Kluyveromyces lactis: one gene and its partners. The protein of the gene in region 1 interacts with the protein of each later gene in a pairwise test. Links are inferred from orthologs where the notes say so. Each region holds a gene or a part of one and is shown in the gene's direction. Other genes may lie near its edges. The genes, in order: MAD1, ATG17, HDA2 and MAD2.

Region 1 (4,538 bases):
CATCGCCACCAAGAGTCACCAAGAGATCCGTCTTTTTGACAATGTCAGCGTCCGAGCCCGTATATAGAACATGCGGTTGATTTGGATTCGATTTAGGCATCGATCTGAAATCTTGTGATATTTCTTCTGCCACATCTGGTTGCACTATAACGTTGACTTCTGGGTAAGAATCGTGCAAGTGTGTGATGAACTCAACCATGGCCTCCCTAGTGGTATCAGTCCAAGGTTTCTTCATTAAAAACACGTTTTGCATAGGACGGTGCCATATCAACGATTGTAGTTTCGAATTTGGGGAAGATATGAAATCTGGCAAGCTGGTTGCCCGTAGATCGTTTACATCTTTCAAAGCAACAAACTTCGAAGAATCTCGAAGTCTTACCTCAGAATAAAACCTAGCGCACTGAAACAAACCTGAAACATGCTGCTGACGGGCCAGTGACCAAATGCTAGGAACATTTAACCTTCCTCTGAGAAGTATCACCATATCTCTTGCTAATCGTTAAACAAAAAAAAAACAAATGAAATCACTTCTAATCACCTAATCTTCTGTCTCCTACTCTGCAATTGCCGAATACAGTCTGTATCCAATGAACTGTAGTCTGTAGAAACACTACTACGGACCACTACTAAAACCTTTGTAAACTCTTTTCGTTAGGAAACAATTTGAAATAATGAATTCTTATGATTCATTTATATGAAAGTTCACTGCAAAGTCTTCCAAATTGAAAGTTTCTCTGGATGAAAGAAACAGTCGAAAGAAGAGTGTTAGGAGCAGGACCAAAATGTAGACCCCTTTTGTGCGTGTGACTCTGCGAAGAAGAGTAAGAATCGGAACGGTTGACCTAGGCCTTTTTCTATTTACAGGCACTTGGGCGAAAAAACCGGCTTTACTATCGATCTGGTGGTGGTTGTAAATCTGGTGGTTTGATGAGAAATTCAAACCAGCAAATCTCTTCGAACCTTGTTTGAACTAATTTACTTAGAGAACAGTGCAATTGAGTGGATCATGATCTAAAACAGGACCTGACTTCTCTTAAGCAAGATGATACTTTTGAGTGGAGGGCACATCGGCAGGCGTTGCTTCATTATACATTGGACAATATGCTTATTATGCGTACGAAAACTTTTGGGAGCCCAAAAGGGCCCCCAAACCAGTTGCGCCAAATACACAACTTTATACTTATTTACTCTCATGTGTATATATACATTTAGTACCTGCTGTAATTTCACTCAAACGTCGTTCCCTCTTGTGGTTGTAACAATTTTTTGTTCGATGGTGTTGCCATTTCCTTACGTAGCTCCAATAAGACAGTTTCCATGGTATAGGATCTTTTCCATTCCTTCAAAGTATGGAATTTCTCTTTGACGACCTCTCCGGTGGTAGAATTGACACATGGCAGGTTGATCTTCGATACGAATTTCACCTTAGGTGGTTCGTCTGGATATGAGGGCCCGCATTCGATGAGCACTGAATATATTCTGTTTTCATGGTTGCTATGAGGAGGACCAAGTATGGTACCGTTCCACTTTGTCATTGTGATATCATCGGAGTCAGAAAGACCATAGGAACAAGATTCTGGACCCAGTCCTTTTTCTCCCTTCTCTAGCTCTTCTAGTAGTCTGAAACTTCTTGGTCTAGTGAAATATGTATGCCATAGTGCGGTTAGTAAAATTCTGAAAGGGTTGTTATAGGCATGGGTATCGCATGAAAGTAAAAGAATTCGAATGAACGTACACTTTAGACATAGTAAGAACAGTCTGGTTAGTTAGCGGTGTGAGCTTTTGATCCCCGTCCCCTTTCTTGATCATCTTTAAAGGGGATGATTTAAACGTTTCTTCATTTCATTCTGATTTTATAATTTTATAGCGAAAATCTTGACTTTGATCTTGATCCATTAAGTGATCTTAGGGGAACTTAAAGAATGCTTCATGCCAATAGTGTCTTGCAATTGTGTCAAACTCAATTGTGTATTATATGTCACTAACACCTCAGATAAAGGAAAAGCCCCTTGAATCGCTAGATGCAGATCAGTTGAGACGTCGCGTTTTAACGCTTCAGTACAAATACACAACCTTACAGAACGAGTATGAAATTTCGAAGTTGTCATCAGAACGCGAGACTTATTCGCTTCAGAACAAATACGATAAGAGTATGAACGAACTGGAAAATGCTTTGAAAGATACCAAGATACTATATGAGGAAAACATCAAGTTGAAGGAAGAATTGAAAAGTAAGGATGCGTTACCGAAGGAGGATGAGAAGATCATAACGACACTTCGAACACAGGTTGTAAGTTTGAAAAACGAAGTTAATTTGAAAGAGCAGCGTATCGTGGAATTAGCTCATAAGCTTTCCTCAAAACAAAATGAAGTTACGAATGCAATTGAATCGATGAAGTTGGAAATTGAAGGTAGCGGAAACATTCTGCATCAACATGAAACTCAGATAAACAAACATGTGGAAGAGATACGATATTTACAACAAGAACTGAAGGAAAAAGAAAATCTGATATCTGAACTACGATCAGTTCAAACTTCTGCGTCTCATAGGAACAATTCTACGGAAGAATTACAAGATTTGGCTGTCTTGAACAAGACTCTGAAGGAGCAGCTCAATTATGCCAAAGAACTAGAGGATATGAACCTTAAACAAGCCACTGAATTGAAGAAGCTTCGACAAAATAACGATGTCCAATCGTTGTTGAAAAAGGAAAATGAATTACTCCAGTCTAAACTCGATCAATTGAATTCTTTACAAAAAAAGTTCGAATCATTGGAAATGGAGAATATCAGCCTACAGGAGAAGATTACACAATGGGGTATTGTTAGGTTAGACGGTAAATTCAAGAACCCTAACGATGTTATAACAGAGCTTAATATGTTACAACGAGAAAATACTTTCCTTTTAGATACGAATTCCAAGTTACAAATTGATTTCAATCAAATGTCCATGCTCAACGATGAGATGGCAATTGAAAGAAACCAACTTCTAGATTTGAACAAAGACTATGAAACTAGTATTTTGAATTTGAAGCGTTTAAATCATGAACTTGAACAACAAAAACTTTTGTCATTTGAAGAGTGTAAACTACTAAGGCAACAATTAGAGGAATTTGAGGAGCAAGACGATAAGAAGAAAACACCCGGAGACCAGGTAAATGCTTCAAACATCATCGAAGGGTACAAAAATCAAACTGAGGATCTAACCAATGAGCTCAAGAGATTGAACGAAGAATTATCAAAAACTGACGATAAGATTCAAAAACGTAGAAAAATAACCAATGATTTGGGAATAAGCTATTCTCAAAGATTAAATGAGCTAATACTGGAGAACAAAAAACTGGAGAGATTACTTTCTGCGACTAAAAATCATGCGAATATCCTAGAACAAAAAATTTTGGACTTGACTAGTCTTAAAGAGAAGAAGGTTAGAATTTTACAACTTCGTGATAATCCATTGTTAAAAGAGCATTATATCAGAAAGGAAAAGTTGGCATTACTTGAAAAGGAAAACTCCGATCTATTATCTGGGATAGAAACAGATGCCATCCCAAGATCTGTTTATGATCGTATCAAACACGACATGAAACTACTTGAGAAAGAGATTTTCTCTGCAAATAAGAAGACCACAAGACTAAAAGAAGTATTCAATAAGAAATCGTTAGAGTTCATTGAGGCCGTTAATTCACTGTTAGGATTTAAACTAGAATTCTTGGCACATGGTAAAGTAAAATTAGTAAGCTGTTATCAACCGAACAAATATATTATTGCCGATTTACAATCGAATACGTTAAAATCGGATCTAGATAAAGTTATTCCTGAATGGGAAACGTTATTTCAATTGTACGTTATAGAAAAGGGAGAGTTGCCAGCGTTTCTCTCCCAAGTAAAGCTTAGACTGTGGGAACTATCTCAGCCTTAGCTGCGCGTCACAAGAAGGCAGGACTCAGTGTAAATCAACATATTTTAATTCATTGTATATACTAGTATGTGCAAATATCTCTCTATTTACATATGGATCAACTTGACGAAAAAAGATTCAGACATATATACAAACTTGGATTGTCGGGGATATTATATGACATCACTTCCTATCACAATACCGAACCGCAGCAGTTCATCAACCGATGATTGAGGTATGACTGAACAGCGTACTGTTACAAATAATGCTACCCATTATTTCTATCCTACAGTCCTACTATTTTCTATATTATTGACTGGTGGTGTTTTAACTGCTACTTCTTTTTACAATAAGCACCTTAGACAGTATAAATCTGCCAAAGATATACCGGAAGCGATATTCAAGAAGCAATGGCTATATGGTAAAGTAACATCTGTGGGAGATGGTGATAATTTCCATTTCTTTCATACTCCAAGCGGTATTTTTGGCGGCTGGGGATGGTTAAGGTCCATTCCTGAGTTACAAACAGTAGCGTTCGACGCTTCTGTTGAAGTACCACAATCAGTTCGTTGGTGGAACAAACTATTCAGTGCCAAAGTAGCTAACTATAAGAGTCATTTCATGAGTTTACATGTGC
Region 2 (3,892 bases), on another chromosome or scaffold:
GTAGAAATTTTGGTCATGGGTGTATTGTTAAAAGCGTTGAACCTGGATTCCGACTGGCCAGTGCTTTCAATTAAACTTTTCAAGGAAAGCCGTTCGTCATGGTCCGAAAGTGTTGACGGATGATCGACAAAGTCAAGAAGTTTCTTCACTTCTTCTACATTATCTAATGAAGATGCAGTGTAAATTCTATTAATCATGTATTTTAGCCATGAAGAAGCTTCATAACGGAAGGTGCTGCTCTTAAACACAAACCATTGGAATAAGGTCTTTAATAGCGAGTTGTTAATGACCTTATATACTTTATTCCTGGTTGGCAAATCGAAGAAATCATTATATTCTTTCAACACATCAATAATAGCTGAAATGTAAATTTCATTCTCTGCATCGGTAAATTCGTCAATCAGGTGAAAGTGTGAATCGAAGTAATCAGCGAAAGATGAAAGCCAATACCTGTTGACTAATTCATAAAACTTGGAGTCACCCACTGCCTCCTTCAAGAGAATAACGTTTTGAGGGTTAACAGTCATTGAAGGTTCCCAATTTTTCAAAAACTGCTCGAACTCCAGCAGGATAAGTGCTTTTAATGACTTTAAATCCCTTTCTCCCAAAATGAGATGCAACTCGCCGTATGTCACCATGAATTCATCTGACAGAAATTGAGGAGAAAGTTGTATTTCGAGAGCCGGCATAATGTAGCGGGAAAGGAAGTGTTCCCTGCAGCTAATAAAGTCAATAATAGGTAAATACTGAACGGTTATTTGACGTAGCATCCTCGAATATCCGGTATTTGAATCTAACCAATAACATAAGGGTTGATACACCAACCTATAAATGCTGCTTTGTGTTTCGTTCAAAATATATCCAGATTCCATTCTATATGAAAGAAACCTTATTGCTGCCCTCAAATGGTTCAACTTTTCGACCTGCATATCTGCCGTATTAATTCCACGATTAAGCTCTTTGAGCAAGAACATGGTACAGAGCTTATCAAGTATGTCATCGTCATTTATTTCTAGGCATTCAGTAATCTGATCTTCAAGACTTGGTTGCGAAAGTTGTTTTTCCTTGACTTTTTCTAAAACACTTTGTAGCCTTTCCTCTTGGTGTACTTTGCGCTCGTCATCTAGTTGAGCTTTTTCCAAGCCAACTTGTATTCTATCTATGTCCGAATGAAGCTGCAGAAGCTTATTAGCAATTTCATTCAAAGAGGAAATCTCTTCTTCATGTAATTCAGAACCATTGATTGTTCTTGTCACCGTATCAGGTAGTTCTATTTTTAATTCCGCAAGGAGACTTATATTTTGAATCAATTTCTCAAGCTGGGTGGCACGACGAGTCTTAAACTCCACTGTTTTCTTTTTATTTGAACTTTCATCTGATGATGCTGAAGTATTACTATAGTTGGAGTCATCTCTATCATGTACTGCACTTAACATCCCTAATCCGACACCTTTAGGACGAGTGACTGTTTCGATTGGGTTCACTATACCTTTCCCATCTCGTCCTAAACCTTCACCTTGTTTGTAACCCATTTTTGATAAAAGCTTGGCACCCATACCATAGGTCTTTAACATCTGGTCGCTTTTCAATCCATCATTGGAGTTGGCTTGTCGTACCGGTTCATAGTCTTCTTCTTCTTTTTGTTCTTCATTGTCATCGCTATATCCATATGGATCGGTAAATACCATACTATTCATTGTCATACTGATCTTTCTTCTTTTGAACTGATCATCGTCACTGATATGTTCTGACATCTATACTGAATCACTGGAGTAGTAATAGCTGACTTGGAGTGACTGATACTCCTTTCAATCTTTACTCCGATTAATAGGTATTTATTCATACTTTGAAAAGATTTAAAGGTTTGAAGTTCAGTCTTCGAAGTGAAATTGACCGTTTAAGGGTTTCAAATTGGAAACGTTGAAGAGATGAAGATCTTTCGGTTGATCTGAACTGCGTCTACAAGAAATGAGTGATGCTGCAACTACTATACCCAGTGATGAGATAGATAAATTGTGGAATAAGGCGAGAAACCAGCTTGTGGAAGCTCAAGTCGAATGTGAAGAATCATTAAAAATCCTCTCTAAAGTGCGAACTGAAATGGACAGCTCTCAAAAGTCCAGATTTAAACTTAAATTTATACTTAATTGTTTGGTGAACCAGGTTGAGTTCTTCAAGAATATCATGCTCGAGAAATGTATTTCTACAGAGTTGATTGACAATGAATGGTCAAAGCTGGTTTTAGTCGAGATAGTCAATGACGTGAGTTATTGGCAAAACGAGATAACAACAAAGATGAAGATCTTGCAGGGTACAAAATACGACTTGACTGACGATCACAGTAGCCTTTCAGATTTCATATGCATGGATCACGTAGACATACTACAACAAAAAATCGATGAGATTCCTATTATAAAACAACAAGTGACAAACATACGACAACACTACAAATCGATAAAAGATCGAATAGAAAACCAACTAGTGGCTGTAAAGTTGAAAAAACTCAGAACTTACTTTGATTCACATTTCAGCAGGGATAGCAAAAATAATCTATTCAAATTGTTGGAAAGTGATTATGTCACTGAATTGAACGAATTTGAGAATGAACTTGCCGATTTCTTGAGATCAATCACTGATCATTTCGACAAATGCACGATATTGAAGGAACAGCAGATTCCACTACCAGATTTGAAGGAACTTTTCCAGATTGTAAAGAAAGACGATACACAGTTAGAAAATATAAGGGAATTAGTATTCGAAACGGGACTTGAAGTGAAAGCTTTCTCAAAGAAAGTCAATGAAACAATAAGTGAAATAATGGACAAAATTGGTGGATTCCATCTGCTGGCTTCCAAGATTGTGACAGAGTTAGAAAAATGTGAGGAATACTTATCTATCTTCCAAAAGATTGCTAATTTAGTATTCGTTTATAAGGAATCTTGCATAAAAAAGATTGAACAAGTGCAACAACTCTGTGAGTTTTACGATAAGTTCAAATTAGGGTATAAAAACCTTCTACGAGAAAGAGACAGACGGAAAGCCACTGCGTTACAAATGGAGAAAATATTAAAGGAATGTCAGGAGAAACTACAGGCACTGAGTGATGCTGACTTGGACCAACGCCAGCAATTTTTACTTGAAAATGGTGACTATCTTCCCGAAAACATCTGGCCAGGTTATATCGACGATATGGAATCGATGTATAGTTTCGAATATAGCATACATAATGTACCGAATTGACGGTATTGTGTTATTATTGATACATAAGTATACATATTTACAGGTATAAATTATCTTTTACATCGTTATGGTTAACATTACTTTCTGTGGTTCAAAAATTGCAAGGTATCATTTATAATTTTTCTCAAGATCGACGAACCTTTCAAAGACATCATCGATAGTTAGTAAATCCACTTTCTTCGACTCCCTGGTTCTAATCGCCACCTTGCCTGCTTCAACTTCTTTGTCACCAATCATTATAATATAAGAATAATGCTTCTTGATGGCTTCTCTAATTCTTTTACTTACAGATTCATCTCTTGCATCCATATCAACAGAGAAATGGAAGCTGTTGAGTGGAATTGGGCTTTTTGGATCACTATTTTCACCACGTAATGAGTTGACTGTCTTGAAAGCCAATTCCATTATCTTCTCATCTTCAGTCTTCACTGGGATGACCATACATTGGTTTGGATTCAACCAAAACGGCCATTTACCTTTGCTTGAATCAATTAAAATGGCCATGAATCTTTCCACCGAACCGAAAACAGCCCTATGAATCATGATAGGTCTCTTGTAACTATTATCCTTGTCCTTGAATTGTAAATCGAATCTTTCTGGCAATTGAAAATCTAATTGAATAGTGGCGACTTGATGTGATTTGCCTGTATGA
Region 3 (4,240 bases), on another chromosome or scaffold:
AAAACTTCTAACAAGCTATTACTGAATGGGATCTTTGGTCCAGTCTCATCCTTGAAAGACAAGGACACACATGTATCTGACACTCCAAAGGGCTTTGGAGGGTCTGGAACCTTCCGTTACAAAGGGCCAAGTAGTAATCTACCATCAATTTTGATAAGTTTATCTGTTGATACATCTCGCAGCGCTGCTGAAGCCTTGCAAGAAATGCCAGATAAATTTTCCTTTCAAATGGAATGCTACTATAAACACTTGAATCAAGAATACGTTTCTGTAGAAACGAAATTTATTCCCAGTACAACCTTACCAGGTGAACATCTTTTAACCCAAAATTTCCACTGGGATATAATGGCTGGATCCATAATGAAAAAAATATCTTTCGCTGTCTTGTTTCAAGGCAAGTTTTATGATTACGATCTAAGGTGGTGGACGTTAGAAATAGTAAAACTTCTTAAATCATTGAATGCCATCGATGTTCCTGGCATTAAATCCTTACAAGAAGTAACGTACTTTATGCAAAGATCAACTCTCTTAAGGAAGAGAAATACATCGCCTGACGAGTGGATCGTCTACCATTGGACAATTCTGAATTCCCCTTTAAGTCATATATTCAAGATGGTTAGACCCCAAGTGTATTCGACCACAGGGCTTATTCAAAATACAACTGACATCCTTAATTATGCCGAACCTTTATTGGTAGATGGTGGTAACGTCCTTGTGGTACGAGATACTTCAGTAGGAGATAGCAGAGTTGACAGTTTGAAGGCAGCTGCTGATACCATATACCACGATGGAAGTCGATTTCCAAAGCCTTGGTATCGAGAAACCAAGCCAGGTGCTAGTCAGGATAGATTTGTAATTGCACGACTAGGCTTAACTGCAGAACATTCTTTGCATTCTGATGACCTCACGCTTGATAAATACATGGCACTGTTTAAATCAAAAAGTACTGCATGAAAAGTATGTAATCATTCATTTTACCTCTCAACAGATATCATGAACTCTATATATATATAACCAAAACCAAAAGGTTAGAATAGTTCCCCATTTACTGTCGCAACCTTCGAATCTATCGCTCCCCCTTTGAATAACAATTGTATGGCAGGAAAAGATACTATGTACGTATTCCTTGGTTTCTCCATCTGTCGCTTTTCAAAAATGACATATTTCATTTTTTAAAAGATACTATATAATTAAATCTAACCATTCTTTCCGAATAGCACATTAAAAGCCAGAGTCCAGAGGAAAAGAAAGAGAAACTGCAAGCGCGAGCCATTGGGTCGTTTCATTAGGGAAAGAAAGATGAACTCCACTTCCAACCGGACTCAGGTATTTTATATACCTGTTGGCCTAACTCAAGTTCAGAAAGATTTGTTGGAAATTTTAATCTCGATACATGCAGAGTCGTTTGTCTCATGTGTAGATAAACGTCTACTGCCAGAACTACAATCTAAATTAGAAAAAAAAGGGACAAATCTCAAAAGAGACTTGAGTATGACTGCATTAACAGATGTTCAGTTAACTGAATGGTTCTTCGAAAATATAAGAGCTGTCTCGAATCACCCTTGCCTGTTAGTTGAGCATTATATGCCTAGACAGTTTTTGTTAATGGAACCAACTGAAAGGTTGATATACACCAGCGATAAATTTGGCAAGTTAAATCTAATGGTTGATCTTTTATTGAATCGTAAGGACAAATCGAGGCCATTGCAAGTTGCTATCATTTCACATTCTGTGAAAGAATTGGATTTGATTGAAGGCGTCATGTTGGGAAAAGTTGCAAAGTTGAAGAGGTTATCTGGAACTTCTTTGTTTGACGAAAAACATGAATATGACGATCAAACTTCTGGTTCAAGAACAACCAATGGTGAAAATTCATCAAGTTCTGGTAGCGTAGCTCCTGAGCAAATCGGAAAATCGAAAGATGAATACAACTACTCTAAGTCAAGACGTAAGAATAACATATCTCAACTTGACTGGTTGTTTTTGGCAACAACCACACATTTGACACACTCTGAAGATTTACTTTCTAGGTACAATCTGGATCTTATCATCAGTTTTGATCCAATGCTGGACGAATCGTTACCATCGATATTCAAAGTCAGGAAAAATGGCAGAAAAACTCCTCTGTTTAAGCTATTGGTCCAAGATTCTCCGGATCACTATTTGTTATCCAAAAAGAAGCCAACTACTACTTCCGAAAAGCTAATTTTGGATTCCATTGTTCATTTTCTAAAGTATCGTGCCGATATCAAAGATCTTATTTCTTTACAACAATATGAAAATATTATTGACTCATTGATCAAAGAGACGGACCCTGGTGAATTTCTCCCAAGTGTAAATCCAGGAAGTTCGAGAAATAATGATGATTTGATTCCTTTTCTAACTAACCCAATGGAATTGATGCCTCTAACTTACGGAAAATATGAATTAAGGCTACAATCAGGACCAATGGACATTAAAAATTATCAGTATATTTTAAAAACACTCACGGCAGAACGACTCAAACAATGCCATGTAGAATATGAAGAGCGTGAAAAACTAGTCCTCAAGACCAGATTGAAAGAAACTAAAAGGTTAAATGACTTTGATGATTTGAAGGTGAATATCGGACAACATTTCAAAAAACTCAAAGAAAATGAAACCAAAATCAACGACTCTGAAAAACGCGTTGAAAGAACAAGATCTGAGTTGGAAGTTTTAGAAGAACGTCTAAAGAGCTTGGTTGAACGCAAATCCGAGCTTGTAAGGCTCTTAACTCTCGAAGATATTGCAAAAGAAATTGAAAATCAGAAGCAACAACATACCAAGCTATCAGATGAAGTTTCTTCCTTCAAGAAGAGTAACGATGAAGAGTCCTTTAAGAATGACGATTTGAGATCTAGCTACCAACAAAAATCGTCTGAGGCTGCTTCAGAAGTGCTAAAGACTTCAGCTCTGAAAGCTGAGAAAGAGGAGTTGGAACGCCAATTGAATGGACCTTTCACCAAGTGGGAACTTATTATATTGCAAGAAAAAGAAGCACAACTCAAATCTTCCTTACGCAAAATGGTACAGCAGTCTCAATTCCTAATACAATACATGAACCGAATACAAGGCCAATACAACATTGAAAACGAACCTGCAAAAAAATCATCTCCGGCAACGAACAACTCGTCAAGGTACACTACAAGAACTACCAGGGCTACTTCTCCTACGTACACATAAGTATTACTCCTTCTAGGATACATCCAGACCAAACCATCTCTCAACTACTGCATGCAATATACTGATATCTGAAAGCCTGTCAGATTCTGGTAAACACAAGCTTGCTTGCAAAATTGTAACACTAGCGCAATTACTCCTCTATATAGACCAGTTTGTATTATGTGAGTCAATAGTGACTTGTTCATTCTAATTTCGACATGACCACCCTAACTGCGGCAGTAACGGATCGGCATAACCATATTCAGTTGAAACTGGAACATAGAATTTGAGCTTTTTTTTTCGTACTTTTCGGATTTTAAAGACCTTTACTGATTCGTCTGGTATTTTGCATATAGGGTAGAAAATAAGAACTTTTAGTAGATTTTATGTCTTGCTCTCAAATTGAAAGCAGAAACTAAGGGTATACAGTTCTTTTTTTTTTCTTACCATTGCGTTGTATTGAGCTGACTCCCACAAAATAATAACACTTTAATCTTGGCTACTGTTAAACTCTGAACTTGATTTTGATACAAGTTTTCTGATAATGGGAAAGATGAGTTTCATTGAAGGATTGCAGAAGCGCTTTTTTTTAGGATATTCATACAAATACAACACGTTCGAACTTGATCCTATTATACTGGCAACTTCTATCAAGGTGGCAGTTTTAGATTATTTTCGGAATACGCCTTGGTATTGGATCATCAGAGACGCCGTCTTTTACCATCTGCTTTTTAACGTTTTGTCCCGGATTATTTTGTACATAAGGGGGTATGGGCTTCTGACATCAATTTCTAAATTATTCCATTATGCCAGTAGACGTTTATTTGAGGTTCTATTGAGCTTACCAATGGTAAGAGGTTCTGTCGATAAAGAGGTTTCTAAAGTCTTAGCCACAATAGAGAAAGATATGATAAAAAACGATGCGAATTTAAAGGATTTCCCTGAACTACCAAGAACAGGATTAAGTGAAGCTGATGTATTGAAAGAACTAGATAAACTCAATTCTGTTTTGAAGCATTCTGATTGGGAAAATGGTAAAGTATCTGGTGCAGTGTAT
Region 4 (2,895 bases), on another chromosome or scaffold:
TTACGTGTCAAAGGAACGGAACTTTGCTGTGAAAGAAAGAAGATATGTTTTGAACCAGAACTCTCTTCAAGAAGAATCGATATCTACCAAAAAAAGATCTATCAGTGAGGTTGAATGAGATCTTCATATTCATGTAATAATACAATCATTTCATAGAGCTCTTATTTGGTATAAATACCTATTTTTCCTCAAGGGATCGATAATTATCAACTTATCAAGATATTCTCTAGATTTTGATTTTATATCTTCCTTGAGGATATCTTTTTGAATGAACTCAATCACAAGTAGTGTCTTTAGACACCAAATATTATCCTTTCCAGAGAAACTAATATCATCATCGTTTATAAGTTCAATGATCTCGGTTAGTTCTTTTAGCATACTGCTATACTTTTCTGACGTCATATGCTCTTTTAGTGCACTCTCTTTAATAAACCAGATCAGATACGTCCAGACAGATTGATCTTCAGCATCAGTGAACATGGCATTCTTTATGTACTGAAATTCATCGTCGATGAAGGACTCTTTGTCAGCTATTTGATCTCTCGCCAGCATATGTTCAATTATATTCGTTCGTTGGAACCACGCGCTAAAGTTAGAGATATTTTGATTTATTTTCGCGGTTGTGTATTCAAACTCTTGTGAATTTAGACAGTTTCCGCTTAAGCGTTCTACTGTGCTTACGATGTATCTTCTGTAATGCCATCCATGGAAATTTCTCGCATCCATTTCCAGTAATTTGCCAACAATGGCTAATTCTTTCAACCAGATTTTCAAGGGAGAATTAGGATAATGCTCTAAACACCAAACCCTGTGATTCCATATCCAGTATACTTTTGGACGAACCTTCAATTTGTCCATAGTGAAAGCAAGTTCCCCATCCCAGAAAGTTTGATCCAGTGATGGGGCAAGTAGTTTTATAATTTCACGTCTATAATTCCAGATGGTGTTGAATTCTGGATTGATATTAAGTAACTGGGTAGTCTTCAGAAGAGAGTCCTTGTTTGCTACTCTTTTATTCTTCAATTCTAAAACCTCATCTGATAATTCTCGATAATCGAGGATTTCCTGTCTCTCCTTCTCGCGCTTCTTCCTTAATAACTCCTTTGTCCACTCTCTTCGTGTAACACCATGCTGAATTCATTTCAATTTGTAAATGTTAGTAATCTGCAATTGTATATTATGAGAATCTTCTTTGAAAAGAGTGCCGAGGTCTGCCATACCATTATTTGTCCTCGAGTCTCTGTGGAATTGAGTTTAACGTTCTGATTTGCTGTTCATCATAATCATAACTTATAAGTTTGAATGTTAATTATAAAAAATAGTAGTTTAAAATGAGCTCAATAACATATGTTTTTTGAACTTGCTTCGACGAACAAGGATTCAGAAGAGACTGGAAAGTAAAATTGGAAACATGGATTTGATATCATTAAAAGGTTCGACACGAATTGTTACTGAGTTCTTTGAATATAGTATAAATTCAATATTATATCAACGAGCAGTATACCCGGCAGAAGACTTCGCTACAGTTAAGAAGTATGATTTGAGCTTATTAAAAACACAAGATACAGAACTTAAACAATACATACGGGAAATTCTCCGGCAGGTTCATAGGTGGTTATTGGGAGGTAAATGTCACCAGCTTGTTCTGTGTATAGTAGATAAGGATGATGGTGAAACAATTGAAAGATGGAAGTTTAACGTAGATTCTCACAGCAACAAGAACGATACTGATGATGATATGAACATTCCATTAGAGGAAACCCAAAAGGAGATTCGGGCAGTACTTAGACAGATAACAGCCAGTGTCACTTTCTTGCCCGAATTGAAAAATGAAGGTAACTATACTTTCAATGTTTTGGCCTATACTGATAGTAATGCGAATGTTCCACTAGAATGGACAGATTCTGATTCAAAAGAAATAGCGAAGGGGGAATCTGTGCAATTCAAGTCTTTCGGTACATCGGCCTATTCAGTGGGAGCTGAAGTCACTTATAAGTTCTAACAAAATTAATGGCTGAACTTATTGCATTTCCTTTTAATACTTATGCTACAAATAGGAACAAGATATAGTAGAAAAGGCACATAATACTTAATTCAACTCGAGAAAGCTCATACTAATTCAATCATCTTGGTGTCTTTTCCAAACTTCTATCCAAATCTTGAGATGTTCAATTAGCTTTTGTCTTAAGAGTCCTTCGCATTCTTCCTGCATAAATGGGAAAAGGTTGGACAATAAGCACGTTTTGAACAACTTTAATTTTGACACGGCTGCCATATCAACCCTCAACTCTTCTTTAACTCTAAGAAGAGCAGTAAAATCGAGTTTAATGTTGTCTGACTCTGCTGCTATTTGGATTATATCCTGAATTATTGCTATTTCATTTGCTAGATTTACGGTGTATCCATTATCCAATTTGACTGAGAGATATGTCAGCCTATCATAAAGCGGTTCGGCCACAAACTCAGGTATATCAAGTTCTTTTACTATTTGAAACTCTTTGCGCTCTTCAGCTAATTCATCAAAAATATCGTAAACTTGTTTTGGGTCAAACGTATCATTCAAATCGGTTCTGATCAATTCCACAGGAAACATCAGAGCAAAATGTGATTCACCAACAACATCTATAAACATATCAATTTCCTTAAACTCAGCATCTGTAAGCGTGCTTTCAGCTATAGTGAAAAAAATCATTATGTAGAAGAATGGAATCATTGCATGAGGATACCAGGTCTGATTTCAAAATAAAGTCGATAGCCGAACCAACTTGTGCGGCACATTTTGTCATATAATCAGATATATTGTAAGTGCTCAGGTTAACTGATATATCTTAATATTCATAAGTAAATAATATCTTCGAGTTTTCTGTGTCATTTTGACTTGACGCATTGACATGC

What was found.
Region 2: the proteins of MAD1 (region 1) and ATG17 interact in a two-hybrid assay, tested with the Saccharomyces cerevisiae proteins (2 studies listed by BioGRID). The link is inferred for Kluyveromyces lactis from reciprocal best matches to the Saccharomyces cerevisiae genes MAD1 and ATG17.
Region 3: the proteins of MAD1 (region 1) and HDA2 interact in a two-hybrid assay, tested with the Saccharomyces cerevisiae proteins (2 studies listed by BioGRID). The link is inferred for Kluyveromyces lactis from reciprocal best matches to the Saccharomyces cerevisiae genes MAD1 and HDA2.
Region 4: the proteins of MAD1 (region 1) and MAD2 interact in binary tests that used the Saccharomyces cerevisiae proteins (3 or more experiments, as listed by UniProt). The link is inferred for Kluyveromyces lactis from reciprocal best matches to the Saccharomyces cerevisiae genes MAD1 and MAD2.

What each region holds. Positions count from the first base shown.
Region 1 is NC_006041.1:1,701,491-1,706,028, forward strand, and holds MAD1 (coiled-coil domain-containing protein MAD1), read left to right. Parts: upstream 1-1,975; coding exon 1,976-3,922; downstream 3,923-4,538. Other genes in the region: POS5 (NADH kinase), read right to left, coding at 1-484; E2 ubiquitin-conjugating protein MMS2, read right to left, coding at 1,227-1,635, 1,736-1,746; LCL3 (Lcl3p), read left to right, coding at 4,139-4,538. UniProt on the Saccharomyces cerevisiae protein: Central component of the spindle assembly checkpoint. Thought to recruit MAD2 to unattached kinetochores. During checkpoint activity, MAD2 is relayed from the MAD1-MAD2 complex to the mitotic checkpoint complex (MCC).
Region 2 is NC_006040.1:231,413-235,304, forward strand, and holds ATG17 (protein kinase regulatory subunit ATG17), read left to right. Parts: upstream 1-1,968; coding exon 1,969-3,240; downstream 3,241-3,892. Other genes in the region: mRNA splicing protein SPP382, read right to left, coding at 1-1,754; threonine--tRNA ligase MST1, read right to left, coding at 3,349-3,892. UniProt on the Saccharomyces cerevisiae protein: Autophagy-specific protein that functions with ATG13, ATG29, and CIS1/ATG31 in response to autophagy-inducing signals as a scaffold to recruit other ATG proteins to organize pre-autophagosomal structure (PAS) formation.
Region 3 is NC_006039.1:896,057-900,296, forward strand, and holds HDA2 (Hda2p), read left to right. Parts: upstream 1-1,299; coding exon 1,300-3,204; downstream 3,205-4,240. Other genes in the region: GTPase-activating protein NEL1, read left to right, coding at 1-954; sphinganine-1-phosphate aldolase DPL1, read left to right, coding at 3,728-4,240. UniProt on the Saccharomyces cerevisiae protein: Required for activity of HDA1 histone deacetylase complex. The HDA1 histone deacetylase complex is responsible for the deacetylation of lysine residues on the N-terminal part of the core histones (H2A, H2B, H3 and H4).
Region 4 is NC_006040.1:797,561-800,455, reverse strand, and holds MAD2 (spindle checkpoint protein MAD2), read left to right. Parts: upstream 1-1,411; coding exon 1,412-2,002; downstream 2,003-2,895. Other genes in the region: CTK2 (Ctk2p), read left to right, coding at 1-118; Rab geranylgeranyltransferase BET4, read right to left, coding at 151-1,131, 1,221-1,223; KLLA0_D09416g (uncharacterized protein), read right to left, coding at 2,120-2,713. UniProt on the Saccharomyces cerevisiae protein: Central component of the spindle assembly checkpoint which is a feedback control that prevents cells with incompletely assembled spindles from leaving mitosis. Thought to be recruited to unattached kinetochores by MAD1.